2 linked regions of the Mytilus edulis genome follow. Each later gene encodes a partner of the first gene's protein in a complex. Links are inferred from orthologs where the notes say so. Each region holds a gene or a part of one and is shown in the gene's direction. Other genes may lie near its edges.

Evidence for each region.
Region 2: the proteins of protein fuzzy homolog (region 1) and ciliogenesis and planar polarity effector 2-like are in contact, whole or in part, in a cryo-EM structure (PDB 7Q3E), measured with the Mus musculus proteins. The link is inferred for Mytilus edulis from reciprocal best matches to the Homo sapiens genes FUZ and CPLANE2. Residues at the interface, in NP_081652.2 of Mus musculus: Arg26, Arg35, Ile109, Val110, Lys126, Glu127, Arg129, Ala130, Tyr132, Cys133, Asp136, Gln215, Ala216, Ala217, Arg218, Asp219, Tyr220, Pro221, Tyr223, Pro232, Leu238, Thr239, Leu240, Leu241, Arg242, Pro255, Leu256, Gly257, Gln258, Pro261; in NP_001074643.1 of Mus musculus: Glu36, Gly38, Leu39, Leu40, Glu41, Arg42, Val83, His84, His85, Glu86, Thr88, Gly89, Ile90, Gln91, Thr92, Thr93, Val94, Lys124, Phe125, Met128, Glu134.

The regions. Positions count from the first base shown.
Region 1 is NC_092350.1:12,395,314-12,402,437, forward strand, and holds the start of protein fuzzy homolog, read left to right. Parts: upstream 1-4,115; 5' UTR 4,116-4,145; coding exon 4,146-4,223; intron 4,224-7,124. UniProt on the Homo sapiens protein: Probable planar cell polarity effector involved in cilium biogenesis. May regulate protein and membrane transport to the cilium.
Region 2 is NC_092356.1:43,878,136-43,885,527, forward strand, and holds the start of ciliogenesis and planar polarity effector 2-like, read left to right. Parts: upstream 1-4,391; 5' UTR 4,392-4,443; intron 4,444-4,569; exon of another isoform or gene 4,570-4,669; intron 4,670-7,392. Other genes in the region: uncharacterized protein, read right to left, coding at 496-1,973, 4,154-4,187. UniProt on the Homo sapiens protein: Required for efficient primary cilia initiation, regulating a late step in cilia initiation. Plays a role in the final maturation of the mother centriole and ciliary vesicle that allows extension of the ciliary axoneme.

The DNA.
Region 1 (7,124 bases):
TTATCTACAAATATAAATAGGAATTTCCCTCTCATTTTTTTCATTTTAAGATAAACAGAAAAAAATTAATGAGGTTGGATATTTTGAAGTAATAATTACTATAGCAAGCATGTTGTATTTTAACATGCCTGTAGCCTTTTCAAATTTCCACATCCATATTTATCAATTATGATAAAAGTCTGTGAATAGAATCTGCCACTTTATAATACAGCATCATCATTACAAATATAGACTTTCCATGCTGGAAACTCCATGGAAACTTCAGGAGGACAGAGATACATTGTCACGTACCAGGCCATCTGGACACCTATTTCTAAATGCTGTACTCTGGATAAATGTAATTAAACAAAGACATCAAAAACTTATCACAAATCTGTCAGGGTTTCTATATTATTTCTCATCTGATTATACATAAGGCTTGTAATCAAACATTTACGCTCCAACGATTTATGCAAGACTAATTATGTGGCTGAAAGACTTGACACAAAGGAATCAGAATAAATCAAGTTTTGAAATAACATGGCTTTGAGATATAGACATACACCCATTTTATTACAATTAAATACAGTTTCCTTTTATTGATTGGATAGGATGGGGCACCTGCCACTGTAACAACTATAAAGACTGACCCTCTGACCGGGGTGTCCTACCCTTAAACACTGACCACTGCAGGTCAACATTTAGTAAAGCAAACATCTCATCATCTATACACACATAAACACTATTGAAAAATTCTAATTTATGTTTTATTAATTCAGAACATTTCATTTTGAACAATAATATATGACATATTTTATACACCATAACAAAAGCTAGTGGATATTATACTTGAGTGTAAAATTCTAATTACTTTTTGGGGTATATCAATAAAAAAGACCACAGTTGCAGCTCCCATCTGTTCTAGTTTCTCAATTATAGCTATAATATTTTATTTCTTATAAAATAATGGAAAAATTCACTATCAATGAAATAAATGATTCATGATATTTTTGTGAATCATTTATATGACCATTATTTGAACTTCATGCATATTTTATAAATTTATGTATATTTGTCATAAAATAAAATAAAATTTATTTATTTTACAAAATAAATTAATATTTTGACAAATTCATTTGAATCTAGAATTTAAATTATTTAAGTACTTAAAAATGAAAACAAAAATCTTCCATAATTTGTATCATATATGTAGTCAAAGTTCCTAACAATGACAGAGATTATATATATGCTGTTCTATTTTTTGCAATGCTATATATAAGCCTGAATTTTATTGTCAGGGTCTCTAAAACAAATGTTTATGATGATCTTACATAAGGTATCAGTTCCTTAATTACTTGTAATACAAGTGATGTTCCTTAGACATGTAGTGATGTGTAATGCATTATTTTTGCAGACATCTGGGCCTTATCCATTTTAATTTTCCAAATCTTCCAGGAAGACATGTTAGCAGATACTAGGATTTGACATGAGATCTTGAAGAAACATATGTTAACAGTTACTATCTTCTGACATGAGATCTTGCAGGAACACATATTTGGTTACTGGGATCTGATATTTAACTTGCAGGATCACACGTTAACAGTAACTGGGGTCTGACATAACTTGCAGTAACACATGTTAAGTTACTGGGATCTGACATTTAACTTGCTGGAACACATGTTAAAAGTTACTGGGATCTGACATAACTTACAGGAACACATGTTAAAAGTAACTGGGATCTGACATTTAACTTGCTGGAACACATGCTAAAAGTTACTGGGATCTGACATTAAACTTGCTGGAACACATGTTAACAGTTATTGGGATCTGACCTTTAACTTACTGGAAAACATGTTAAAAGTAACTGGGATCTGACATTTAACTTACTGGAACACATGTTAAAAGTAACTGGGATCTGAGATAACTTGCAGGAACACATGTTAACTTGGATGGAGAGTTGTCTCATTGGCACTCATACCAGATCTTCTCATATTTAGCTACTTTAACTCTGACATAACTTACATGTTTGTTATATGTAGTATGTATTTAAAATTGTTATCTAGTGTATTCCAAATATGTGAATACACAAGTATTACCAAATGACCACTCATCAACTGCAAGTTAAAATAAACAGTAGCTACATGTATGCATGCATCACACAAATTTTTAAACAATACAAACTCCTGTCAACATCATCTTGATAAGTCATACTCTTGGACTGGAAAGTCCTCTTATTCCAATAATTCAAAGGAATCTAAAAAATGATCTATTAAAAAACTCATGACAGTTAGCTTTCCTTTATAAGAAGGAAAAGCTGGTTCAATATCACTCCATCTGATCAATGATCCTTGTATTGTTTTATTTGATTTTCAATTATTGTTGTCTAAAAACTTATACTTAACAATATTTTATGTCTTGCCCACATCTTTATTATATATACATGTACAACAAAATATATTGTCTCATTTCAAAGACACAGTTTATGCATACTTTACAATGGTATAATTGTATATTTCAAAAGAACTATAATCATGTTGACACTAATCTAACAAATTTAATCAATGTGATCAGCATGGTTTCCAAATTTTTAAAATAGTTGTGAAAAAAAAAGAAGTTTCAAAGTTAAATATATTATCTTTTTCACTTTTTCACTTACCTTTAGAAGTACAAAAACTTTGATGCTGCCTTTTTGATGCGAGCTGTTTCACTTGATGTTCTTTACTATTGACTTCAGTTACTCTTCTTATAACCTAATGAAATAGACAGAGGAATTAATTTAACAATCATATCATTTGAACCAAATTTAAATTGAATTGAATTTTCATTTTTTTTGTTTGAAAAAAAATTATGTTTTGTAGCTTTAAAATTAAATGACATATTTCCTAATCATGCTAATAATGATTTTCATACATTTTATTTACAATAATATAATAAAGCTATAAGATCTATAAAATTAGTTTCTTAAAATTGCTGTATTTTGGATATTTTACAGCCTCCAGTAGAACAGAGAAGATATAGGTTCTAAACGGTGTTTAACAAGGACTTCAGTTGTTTAAAAGTATTTCAAATAGTTCATGTTTATAAACAATAATATAAAACTTGTGTCAGGGATCCCAACTTGTTAATAATCTAAACAAAAATTGTTATATCACTTTTCTTTTAATCTTTTAAAGCTAAATAAATCATTCAATCTAAAAGTCATATAAGTTTGACATTGAGTGCCTTGATGTGACATTAGAAATTGTCAACTGAATATTTCTTTTCAATCTTTTATTAGAATTCTGTATCAAAATTAAATCAATCATGAGAATAACCAATGTGTTTTTAAACGGATGTAATACATTTTATGGTTAAGAATTGGTCCATTTGGAAGTTTTCCATGAATAAATTAAGGAGAATGACTAATGAAGAAACACAAAGAAACATTAAGTCACATCTTTGTCATTCTGAACCAATATCATAGCTAAGCAATACACAAATAACTTTCTGAATGTCTAATTACTTTTGTCAATAAATGGTTATCTTCGTGAAAATTCAATTGACTTTGAAAATACTTTGAACCAAAGTAAGATGAAGTTGTTAAATTAAATTTTGTTGGCACTGCTTTTGTGAAGGACCTATTAATTGAGAGAAAATCGATCGATACTTCGGCTTAAATTTCTTTGTTATTGAACTGAGTAAATATAGTATACACACTGATGACTAATAATAAACGGCGCGTAATTTCTTTGTCTCTCAATAAAAGTATAATATTGTTTATCAACACAAACTGTCATTAATAAAAACTACTGTAATTGCTGTATAAACAAATTACATAATGTGTGAAAACATTTGTAACAGCTTGGGTCAAAAGATTACAAGTCGTGTGGCCAATACAGTGAAAACAATGAGTAACGGCAGATTGGCGTTGCGGGCACGTGCTCCAATAAACAAGCAATAATGAAGATCCTGATCGATAAAATTCCTTTACATTACCAGGGACGAACCTAACATGAAACATGACTTACCTGTCATTAAGTGTGCCTGTTGTCATCAAGTAAAACTTACCATATACTGAACCGAAAATTTGACAGATGCTGTTTACAGCTTCTTCATCGCCATGCTATTTACCCATCATTCTAAAGTTGTGGTAAGTAAGCGCATGCGTATGTTAAACTTACATCGAAATGGCGACCTACATTTTATGTTTGACAACAGGAGGAGGAGTTCCTCTATTTACCCGAATGTCAGCCAGTTTAAAGCCTGTAGGTTATAAAAATACATATAATTTTGAATTATTGACTATGCATTCAGTCAATATAAACTGTAGCGTTAGTGTTTGAGTGTTTTTGCCGGGCTTGTGTCCAGCATAGACACGAGGCCGACGAGGTTGGGCCTTTGCGTTTGATTTCGGTGGTTTCGACTAAAATCAGTTTATATAAAACACAGTTTGTAGAAACAACGTCTCGGAACATTCAACCATCTTCTTAATATTTATTTTTGATGAAAACCGAACACGAATTGATTTTTTGACAAAAAGTTGTGATTTATATTTGAAGTTCCCACTGAAAAAAAAATATGAAAATGTGCTCACATGTGGTGAAAGGGAGCTTACTCTTCTTTCTTCTTTTGTTACAGAAAACCATCAACGTACTGATGTTTACTTTCCGGCGCATGCCTGGTAAATGTTTTTTAATAAATTTATGTTGATAATTTTTCTCAAAATATAAATTAACAAAATATTTCTTATTCAAAGTTGTTTTTGGTCATATATTTTCGTATTTTCAATTTTTACAATTTTTCTTTGTTTTTAATTTATACAATTTTTTTATTTAGTTTTTAAATATTACATTTTTTATTTTTAGTTTTTTGGTATAAGATAAAAACAAGAGTATCTGTTTATTTCAGATGAGGGTAAGTATCAAGGAGCACGTCGTGTGTGAGTGCATCCTTGAAGTTTTCTGTAGTACTGTTTTTGGTAATTTCAGGTGTTAGTTTGTTCCAGTCTTTGATGGTTTGACAGAAGAAAGAAAATTTATAGCTGTCTTTATTGCAATGAATTTGTCTGTAGGATTCTTTATTGGTGGATCTTGTAGTAGACTGACTCTGTTGTAATACATTTTGCGATGGAATGGCTATCTTTTCATTTACAATTTTGTGGAACATTATAAGCCTTGTTCGTAGTCGGCGTTCTTGTAATGTTTGCCATTTCATGGTATCTAGCATCTCAGACACACTGCTGGTGTTGTGATGTCTATTGCACACATACCTTGCTGCCCGTCTTTGTACTTTTTCCAGTGATTTTATATTTTCGTTTGTAAATGGGTCCCATACAGTACAACAGTATTCCAACTTTGGTCTTATGAGTGTTTGGTATGCTCTTTCTTTAATTGTTTGCGATTGGACTTTAAGGTTTCTTCTGATGAAACCTAAGGATTTATTTGCTTTTGCAGCAGTTTGTTGGATGTGGGTGTTCCATTTTAGGTCTGCTGAGATGGTGATGCCTAAGTATTTTGCATGTTTTACAGGTTCTAAGATGTGTCCATACATGTTATAATAAAAGTGGATGGGATTTCTTTTTGTTGTTATATTCATGATGTTACACTTGTCTGGATGGAAAGACATAAGCCAATCTTTTTCCCATTGTATGGCAGCTTCTACATGTAGGTCTTCTTGAAGCTTGAGGCAGTCGTTTTGAGTTTTAATTTGTCGGTAGATTATACTGTCATCTGCAAAGAGTCTGATTTTGCTATGTTGGATGTAATCTGGGAGGTCATTTATGTAAATTAAGAATAGTATCGGTCCTAGCACTGTACCCTGTGGGACTCCTGATGAGACTGGTATTTTTGAAGATGACATGTTTTCTAAAAGTACTGTTTGTGTTCTGTTTGAAAGAAAGGAGTCTACCCAGTTAATGATTTGATCTGATATGCCAAAGTATTTCATTTTGTATAGTAATCTTTTGTGTGGTACCTTGTCGAAAGCTTTAGCAAAATCCATGATAATAAGATCTGTTTGTATGTTCTTGTCGTTGTTTTGGAATAATTCATGTATCAGTGAGATGATTTGTGATTCACATGATCGTTTTGCCCTAAATCCATGTTGTAATTCATATAGAGTGTTGTTTGTTTCTAAGTGGTTCATCATGCTGCTTGCAAAGATATGTTCGAGTAGTTTACAAGCTATGCATGTTAAGGATATAGGCCTATAGTTGCCTGTGTTGTGTTTATCCCCTTTTTTGAATACAGGTGTGACATTTGCGTGGTTCCAGTCAGATGGTACTTTGCCTGTTTGTAGTGATCTTGTAAATATTAAAGTGAGGATATCTGTACATATTTCGATGTTTTGTTTTAGTACTTTGCCTGCGATGGTGTCAGGACCAGTTGCTTTATTCGGGTTTATGTTTTTGATTAGTTTGTAAACACCATCCCTAGATATTCTAATGGGTTCCATTATAGGGTGTTTACTAGGACCTTTGTCTGGAATGTTAGTGTTTGCCTCAGATGTAAAAGCAGACTGAAATTGTTTGTTAAGTATATTTGCTTTCTCAGATGGACTTGAGTGCAGTGTACCTTCACTTCGTAGAGGAGCTATGCCAGTGTTTTCGTTTTTCTGGCTTTTAATGTAGGTGTACAGTTTTTTAGGCGTATTATTGAAGCATGTTTGATCTGGCTCCTTTATTTCAATATCGAAAATCATGTTTTCTATGTATTGCCAGTACGAGTTTCTCATTTCTTTCTGGAGCTTGGTTTTTATCTCTTGGTATTGTTTTTTATACTTAGGATTTTTCTTTTTCTTTTTGTATAATTTGTTTTTCTTGTTGATGAGCTTTTTAAGTTGGTAATTTACCCAAGGTAGTTTCGATTTGTTACCAATGCTTTTTGTTGGAATATTCTTGGTAATAGACTTTTGGATGTTGGTTTTGAACGTGTTCCAAAGTTCATCAAGATTTAATTTATCTTGATCTTGTTTAAGTTCTTTGTATGTTTCAGTGAGATCTTTTTCTATTTGCTCCCAATTTGTCTTGTATTGTTTTTGTAAATATTGAGTGAATGGTAAAGGGCGGGTAATTTAAAGTGCCAATGTATGGTAACATTTTTTGGATAAAAAAAAGATGTATAGTTTGCACTAAATAGTCATATTTTTTAATTCTTGCATTGTTGTTG
Region 2 (7,392 bases), on another chromosome or scaffold:
AAGATGGCATTACATGTATGTACAGAAAAATCTTTTAAAGTTTAACTTAGAACAATTTCTTTAAACAGAATCCATACACCTTGAAACTATCATACACTATGATACAGAAATGTCAAATGATTATTGTATTAATTTATTAATAAACATTTACAAAAAAAACAAAAACTTTAAGAATTTTAAAAAATATTGAAATACAGAAAAAAACTTATTAATTATTGTTGCTGTAACCAATTTGAGTACCAATTATTTATTAGGTTTTGATTGAAGAAGGCAATGCAATATATTATTATAGGAAGTGTATTTACACAACACAAACATACATTTGTACATGTTCAGCTTCACTTGTGTAGTACAACTAGTACTAGATGACATGTATAAATATATGCTAATTTTTGTATACATGTATAGCACACTTGTGTAAATGTTCATACAACTGTCTGTACTATACATTTTAAACTATAATATAGACTATTACAATATCTTCTCATTAAGAAGCTATGACTTTCTAATGAAACAAAACCTCAATAAGAGGGAAAAAAGTGCAAAAAGGGCCATCAATGGAGCTAGGATACAACTCAATAGTGTCATTTTGTTACACCCAAAGTTCCTTGGTTTGCCGTGTATGGTTAATAGATACTGATCAAACTGTTTGGCAGCTAATGGATCATGATGAAATGGATATGGTGCTCCTAAACGATGAGCAGCAGCAAGACCAGAGATCATTGCAATCTCGTGAGTATTAATCAGCGTGTAAGCACCACAAAACCATGTATGTTTCTTCCCTTGGAGATATCTCATCAAGGGGACAGTGAATGCAAAATGAGTCCAGGAATGAGAGAACTGTCTCCACCACGTCTCAAGTAAGACTTTATCCTTCTTCACTTCATCTACAGTCCAGTATTTCTCTCTCAAATTATCGTCTAAGTATATTGTCTGGTATATATTTCTGTTGGAATTTTTCAGCTGTGGTTGGTAGTTGGATAGATTGAAAGACATTTCTATTTTGGCTGGGTCTGTCGGATCAGTTCTGACAAAGTATTGATCTTTGTTTTTGTTTACCTCATAATGTTTGTTCATGTAATTATCATCTTCATGCGTTAGAATTAAATCATTATAATATTTCACATTGCCAAGCGCTTTTCTTTCAAAGAAGGTTGGGTTTTCCAACAATTTGAGAACTGTTTCTGCATCACATGCAAACAGGATTTCATCGAATGTAGCAGTTTTCCCATCTTGGTCAATCACAGTGACATGGGTCCCATATCTCTTAACAGAAGTTATTGGTCGATTCAAACAGATTTTCACACCACTTTTTCTTAAGATGGTTTCATACATTTGTTCTAGCTTTGGAAAGGCAAACATTTCTGGGGATTGACTTAACAGAAGTTCTGAGTCATAATCAAATAATCGTAGGTCTTCATCTAAAAATACTCTAGCCATGATTGCCGCCGACACATATGGAGTACGATTTCCTGTTCCAAAGAAAAGAGCAGTGAGTGGAAATACCATTTCATTTGCGAAATCTTCAGAAAATCCATTCCATTTTAATACTTTGTACATTGGAACAAAAATATAAAAGAATTCAAATCTGTTGATCTTCTTCAAGACATCTTCGAAACGTTTGATTTCATTTTTCAGCTTTTCCGTCAGGGGTGACTTTGCATAGTTTGTCCAATGAGTCTTCCCTTTACCAAAAGATATCATCATATGTACTGGTGATGTCTTAAATCCAAACTCCTTCATCATTATCAAAGTATTTCTGTATGATGGTGTACCTCCTTGAACCCCATAATTAACAAAGGCATCTCCTTTAATATCGCTAGAACAGGCAACGCCTCCAGGTACTGATAGTTTTTCCCAGACTTCTACTTGGAATTTCTCTGGATGTTTTGATAAACTGTAAGCAGCTGCAGTTCCCGCAGCCCCAGCTCCAACAATAAGAACCCTCTTTTTACTCGTCATCTTTTCAGCACCTACAACATAAAAGATAGTTTATAAAGACTTGCAAAACAAGCATGAGTCTATGACAAATGCCCAATATACTAAAATGTGGATATCAATATAAAAGTCAAGGCTAAGTGTCAGTACATGACCTAATTTTGACAATTTATTATCAATTAGCATGTTTAATTTGTTCATATGATGTGTTGTCATGGTCATTGTAAATAATCTCAAAAATACATAATATATATGACTTCATGCATGTATCCAGACAGTGCCAACAATTTAAGTCCTTTCATTTGATCTATAAAGTATGTGTGTAACTGTTTATTTCACAGTAATTTTTTTCCAGACATGGCATTTCACAGGCATTTGTATTTCTTCATGACAAATAACAGTAAAATATCTTGCCAAATGAAGTTAACGTTAATTTTTGGTAGATGATAATAAAATGTACACTTTCTTTTAGACAAGAAAAAATTGACTGATTTTGTAGAATCGTGTTATTTTTTCCCCACAAATAGCAGTAACGATAATTATTTGACATGTTTGAGACCTCTGACAAATCCAATATTAATCAATTTGATGCTAGCGGTAGCCGAAAAAATGATCGTTCGATGCCCTTGAAGTCAATGCCTGACAGTAAAGCCTTTGTTGGGCGGTAAATACCACCCCCGGTATTTACCAGTGGTATTTACCGGTATTTACCGCCCTGGACAATACTCCCCAAGTGGTCAATACTGGCAAATACTGGTCAATTGAAATTTTCATGGTTGTTTCTACTATTAAATGAAGTAAAATCTTGATAAAAAGTCAAATATAATGTGTCAGCTTATAAAGGTAATGAATTTGATATGTTTTATTCATTTATAACACTTATTCTTACTACTGATTTAAAATTAAGTTTTTAAGAATTATGATATTGCATACTTATATAATTAAGATATATATATATACAAATTTATATTTTATTTCAACATGTTTAAATCAATATATTTTTATTCAAAATGTATGATTTTACAGGTAATTAAAATTAAAGGTAAATAAAACTACAGGTAAATGAAGTTACATGGGTCTTTTTACCTATAGCTATCACCTGGCATTGCTAGGTGTGAAAATTTAATTACTAAAACAACAGCCTCCAATAAAAGTTGACAGTACATGGGTTGAAAGTAATAAAATTGATATATGAAGACTCCCTTAAACAATAAATTATTTCCTGTTTATAGCTATCTAACTGTGAGATAAAAAAAAAAAACCTTCTTCATGCTGGAAATGAAAATTTGAAGCATGAACAAAAAGTTTTTATCTTTTACTATAATATTATGTACACATTAATCAATGTAGATACCTGTTTGAATTAACAATAGAATTAGAAATGAAAGCATTAAAAATGGTTTGAACACTTTCTATATAAATTAATTATTAATTGTAATTATAATTGACCAAGTAGATAGTGGTTTTTATAGTAATGTCCACTCAAAATTTCAATCGACCAGTATTTGCCGGTATTTCCCAGTATTTGCCAGTATTTCCCGGTAAATACCGGTATTTACCACTGGCATGGTCAATACTAGTATTGACCGCTTTTTTGCCAACCTTGTGTAAAGGGCATTCCTACCCCTAGTCCAAATAATTATGAGATCGTCCCGAAAGCGTATGATGCATGTTTACTATCAACGTGAATCTCGACTATAGAGCGATAGTCGAGATTCACGTTGATAGTAAACATACATATATATATTTAAAGTATAAATATGGTATATTAGTATATATATATGGTACAAATAAGTGATATATATCGAAAAATCTGAGATTTATGATAATAAGGGGGAGGGACTATATCGGGCTCATACAGGATCCTGTCCTCAAGCACCTGTGGCAAAGTTCCCCCAAATTTGCTCTCTAAGTCCAGAGGTAAACCAGATGCTCCGCAGGGCGCAGCTTTATAAGACTTTTACTAAAGTTAGAGTGCGAAAACTAAAAGTATTCGGACGACGACGACAAAGACGATGACGCCAACGTGATAGCAATATACGACGAAAAATTAAAATTTTTGTGGTCGTATAAAAATGGTTTAGCGTTATGACGTCATCGGAAGGCGTCCCAGAAAAAAAAAGCCTTGCCAGAGTCAAAATTATTTGGACTATCCTACCATTTTTTTTATATTAACTGGTGCTGTAAAACAAATTCAGTAATGAAGTATGCCTACCTTCCATATCAACTTTTACACAGTCAACTGACATTTTACTATGATTCGTTCCTTACCTCTCTTTTGACATTTGTTAAATGTTTAAACTTTTTATTTTTCCTTCTACAAATAAGGCCTCATGCCAACATTTAGGTGTCAATGAACGTTTAATCGTGTAATAAACGTTATTTTAATTATGCAACATTTACTGTTTACATAATAGACCGGTTAACCTTCACCCTTGGGGTCAATGAGAACTAATCAATAACAGGAACATTTTCCAATTACACATTCTAGAAAACGTAATTTTTGTACGTTTATTTAAAACATGTTAATGTTTCCATATTTTTCTGGTTTGATTTTTCCTTCTTATAAAACATGAATATAAAATATAATTGCGTTAATTAGAGAGTCAAGAAAAAATTTATGCACTCTGGGTTTTAGCATTTTCAAAATGTCAGCGTCCATGGTTTCAGGAAAGTTTTAAAACAATTTAGATAATTGAAACAAAATAATGCAATTTAATCGTATACCCAAGTAAGCTGTAGTTAGCATAAATTTCCAAAGATCAAACCAGTTTATTTTTCAGTATATTTTTAAATAATTTGAGGCAGGTAATATGAGGCAGGCATTACGGGTACAAGTCAAATCGGCACCCGATCAAAATTATTCGGGACCCACAGAAAAAGAATCAGCACCTGGTTAAATCGGCATCTATTCAAATCGGCACCTATTTAAAGTCAATTCGGCATCCAATTATATTTGATATGAATATATTAAAACTATTCAAAAAATGTATAAATGATCTTTCTATTTCTAATTATTTTTAGGGTTTTCTCAACATTCTATGACTTAGACTGTTGTTTTGATTAGTTTTCTTTTCGATTGGTTAATTTTAAGAAGTCACTAGTACCTATACAAATCTTTGTTGATTAAAAAGTCAACCAAACCAATTTCTTGCTAGCATTATTAAAAGATGGAGCTGTATCTCTGATATATCGTCTTGGTACCTGTTTTGACGCGGACCAGAAATGACGCACCAATTTAGTTTTGGGTTTTATATTTCTAAACAAAAGATGTGACGTCATCGATAATTACTATTCATAACATGATGGTGAAGGTCATATGACTACAACATAGATGCCTCAAACTCTGTCCAGAAATGTTATTATTGCTTGAATTAGTAAAGATAATGCAATTTCTGCCATTTTATTAAGGTCAAAAACAGTCTACCCTTCCCAGAATGATTATCAGTCCTAAATCCACTTTGGCCGGCAAAAGTATGTATGCACATGCTGCCCCAGTTTGTGTTTTTCAAATCATATGACTGTCATGTGACATGGTTTTACATTTAAGCGGGAATCACTGTAGAACAAATGATCGTCGCTTATATAATTTTCTATTGTTTATCGATTTTTTTCATTCATTGTACGAAGTATACATTGATAAATGTTTTAATGTCAATGTTGTTTTATGAATGCAATTACTTCTTATTTTCAAGTATATGGAATATATATGTCACTTTGATAAATTTTGAACAATTTTATATAAAATTTGAAATAAAATATAGGTTACAATTAAATTAATGAAAAAAATTGTGTTGCTATCAACATGATCATAAAAGTGACTGTAAATGTCAAAATTTGTTATTAAAATTAAATTTGTTGAATAGTGTTAACTTTAAATTATCCGGATTGAAGCAATTTTTCGAACATCAGGTACACTGCAAGTGGTTTTTACTGGTTTGTTTATAGTGCGTCATTACTGGTACCCATCATAAGTTGACAGTCCGTTTGTAATGTTAGCAAACATGATTTTTATTGCTTTTACTGTTTCAAAAATCAACTGTTTAATGATTGAAATACATTAACAAGTGATCAATCTTTCATTCTATTCCGTGTTTCTTTTTCTTTTAAATGGTAGATTAAATGCAGAGACAAACACAACGTTAGGTGCGTCATTACTGGTTCCTCGGGGATACAAGTAGTTATAGATGTGTTTTTTCTTCACTGAAAAACTAAATAAAAAACAATGAAGACATTACGCAAGATGTTGTTTAATCATGAGAAAGTTAGAAGCAGTAAGAGGGAAAACTTTGAGTCCTTTTCATTAGTATCACTAATTATCGAAAAATTATACGCAATTCTAAGGTCGTTTTGCAGATAAGTTTTAGCAGCATTAAACCAACAATCATGCAGAATGCTCAACTGGTTGAAACATTTTTCTATATAAATAAACTTTATAGTATACTTAATAGAAAAATAAAATAAAAAATTGGGGGCACCGTTCATTTAAGCTCACAATCTGCATACATTTTCGTAAAGGTACTTTTTTTTCTGTTGAACTAATAAGAGAAATATATCTGAATAAAAAAAGAACTAAATTACAGAAATCACTGAAATGTTACAATAGTTTCGTTTAAGTACAGCCTAATCCAAGAAATTAATCAAAAAAATATAGGTCACAGATGAGTTAAAAAAGATATTTCAATTTTAATACTAAAAGATGGCATTTTTGCACCAAAGGAAGATAATTTGGAGCTTTTTCAATGATATATGCATTTTAAAAGTCATCTGGGGCCAAAACGAATTGATTTTTATGGTTGATGTTTGAACCATATGATAAAGTAAAAACAAATAAAGTAATAAATAAAATTTGTATGGAAAAAAAAAATGTTTAAAATTTTGCTGAGATTTTTGTATCCTCGAGCCTCCTTAAGGATGTACTCTGTAAAATTGATGCTTTAAGCTAGAAGATTATTAGTTAAGGGCATACGATACAGTTTTGATCCCATATTTAAAGTTTGATGAAAATTTCCATATAGGCTATTTTTTGCCTGATTGAATCAAATATGTAATAAAAAATATACCTTCATGTGCTACTTTTTGAGTTAAATGATGTTGAAATTTTATATATTTGCTCAAAACTCAGATTTGTGGCCGTATTTTTCCTTAAAGACATAACTTTTTTGTTTTAAAAGATAAACACAATTTGTTGTTTGTTAAATAGTTTGTAATTTCTGCATTTTATAAATATCATGAAAATTTATGCATTTTTTATTCAGAAATAATTATAATTTATCAAATGGTCAAGAATTGAGAAAAAAATGTAATTTTTTGCTGTATAATTATCAAAATTTTAAAAATTGCACTATTTACAGTTTTATAAAATTTGGTCCACATACATAATTTCCCTGCAAAGTGAAACAAAAAAAATGTCATTTTAAAAAATAGGGGTCCATGCACTCGTTTTCAAATTAA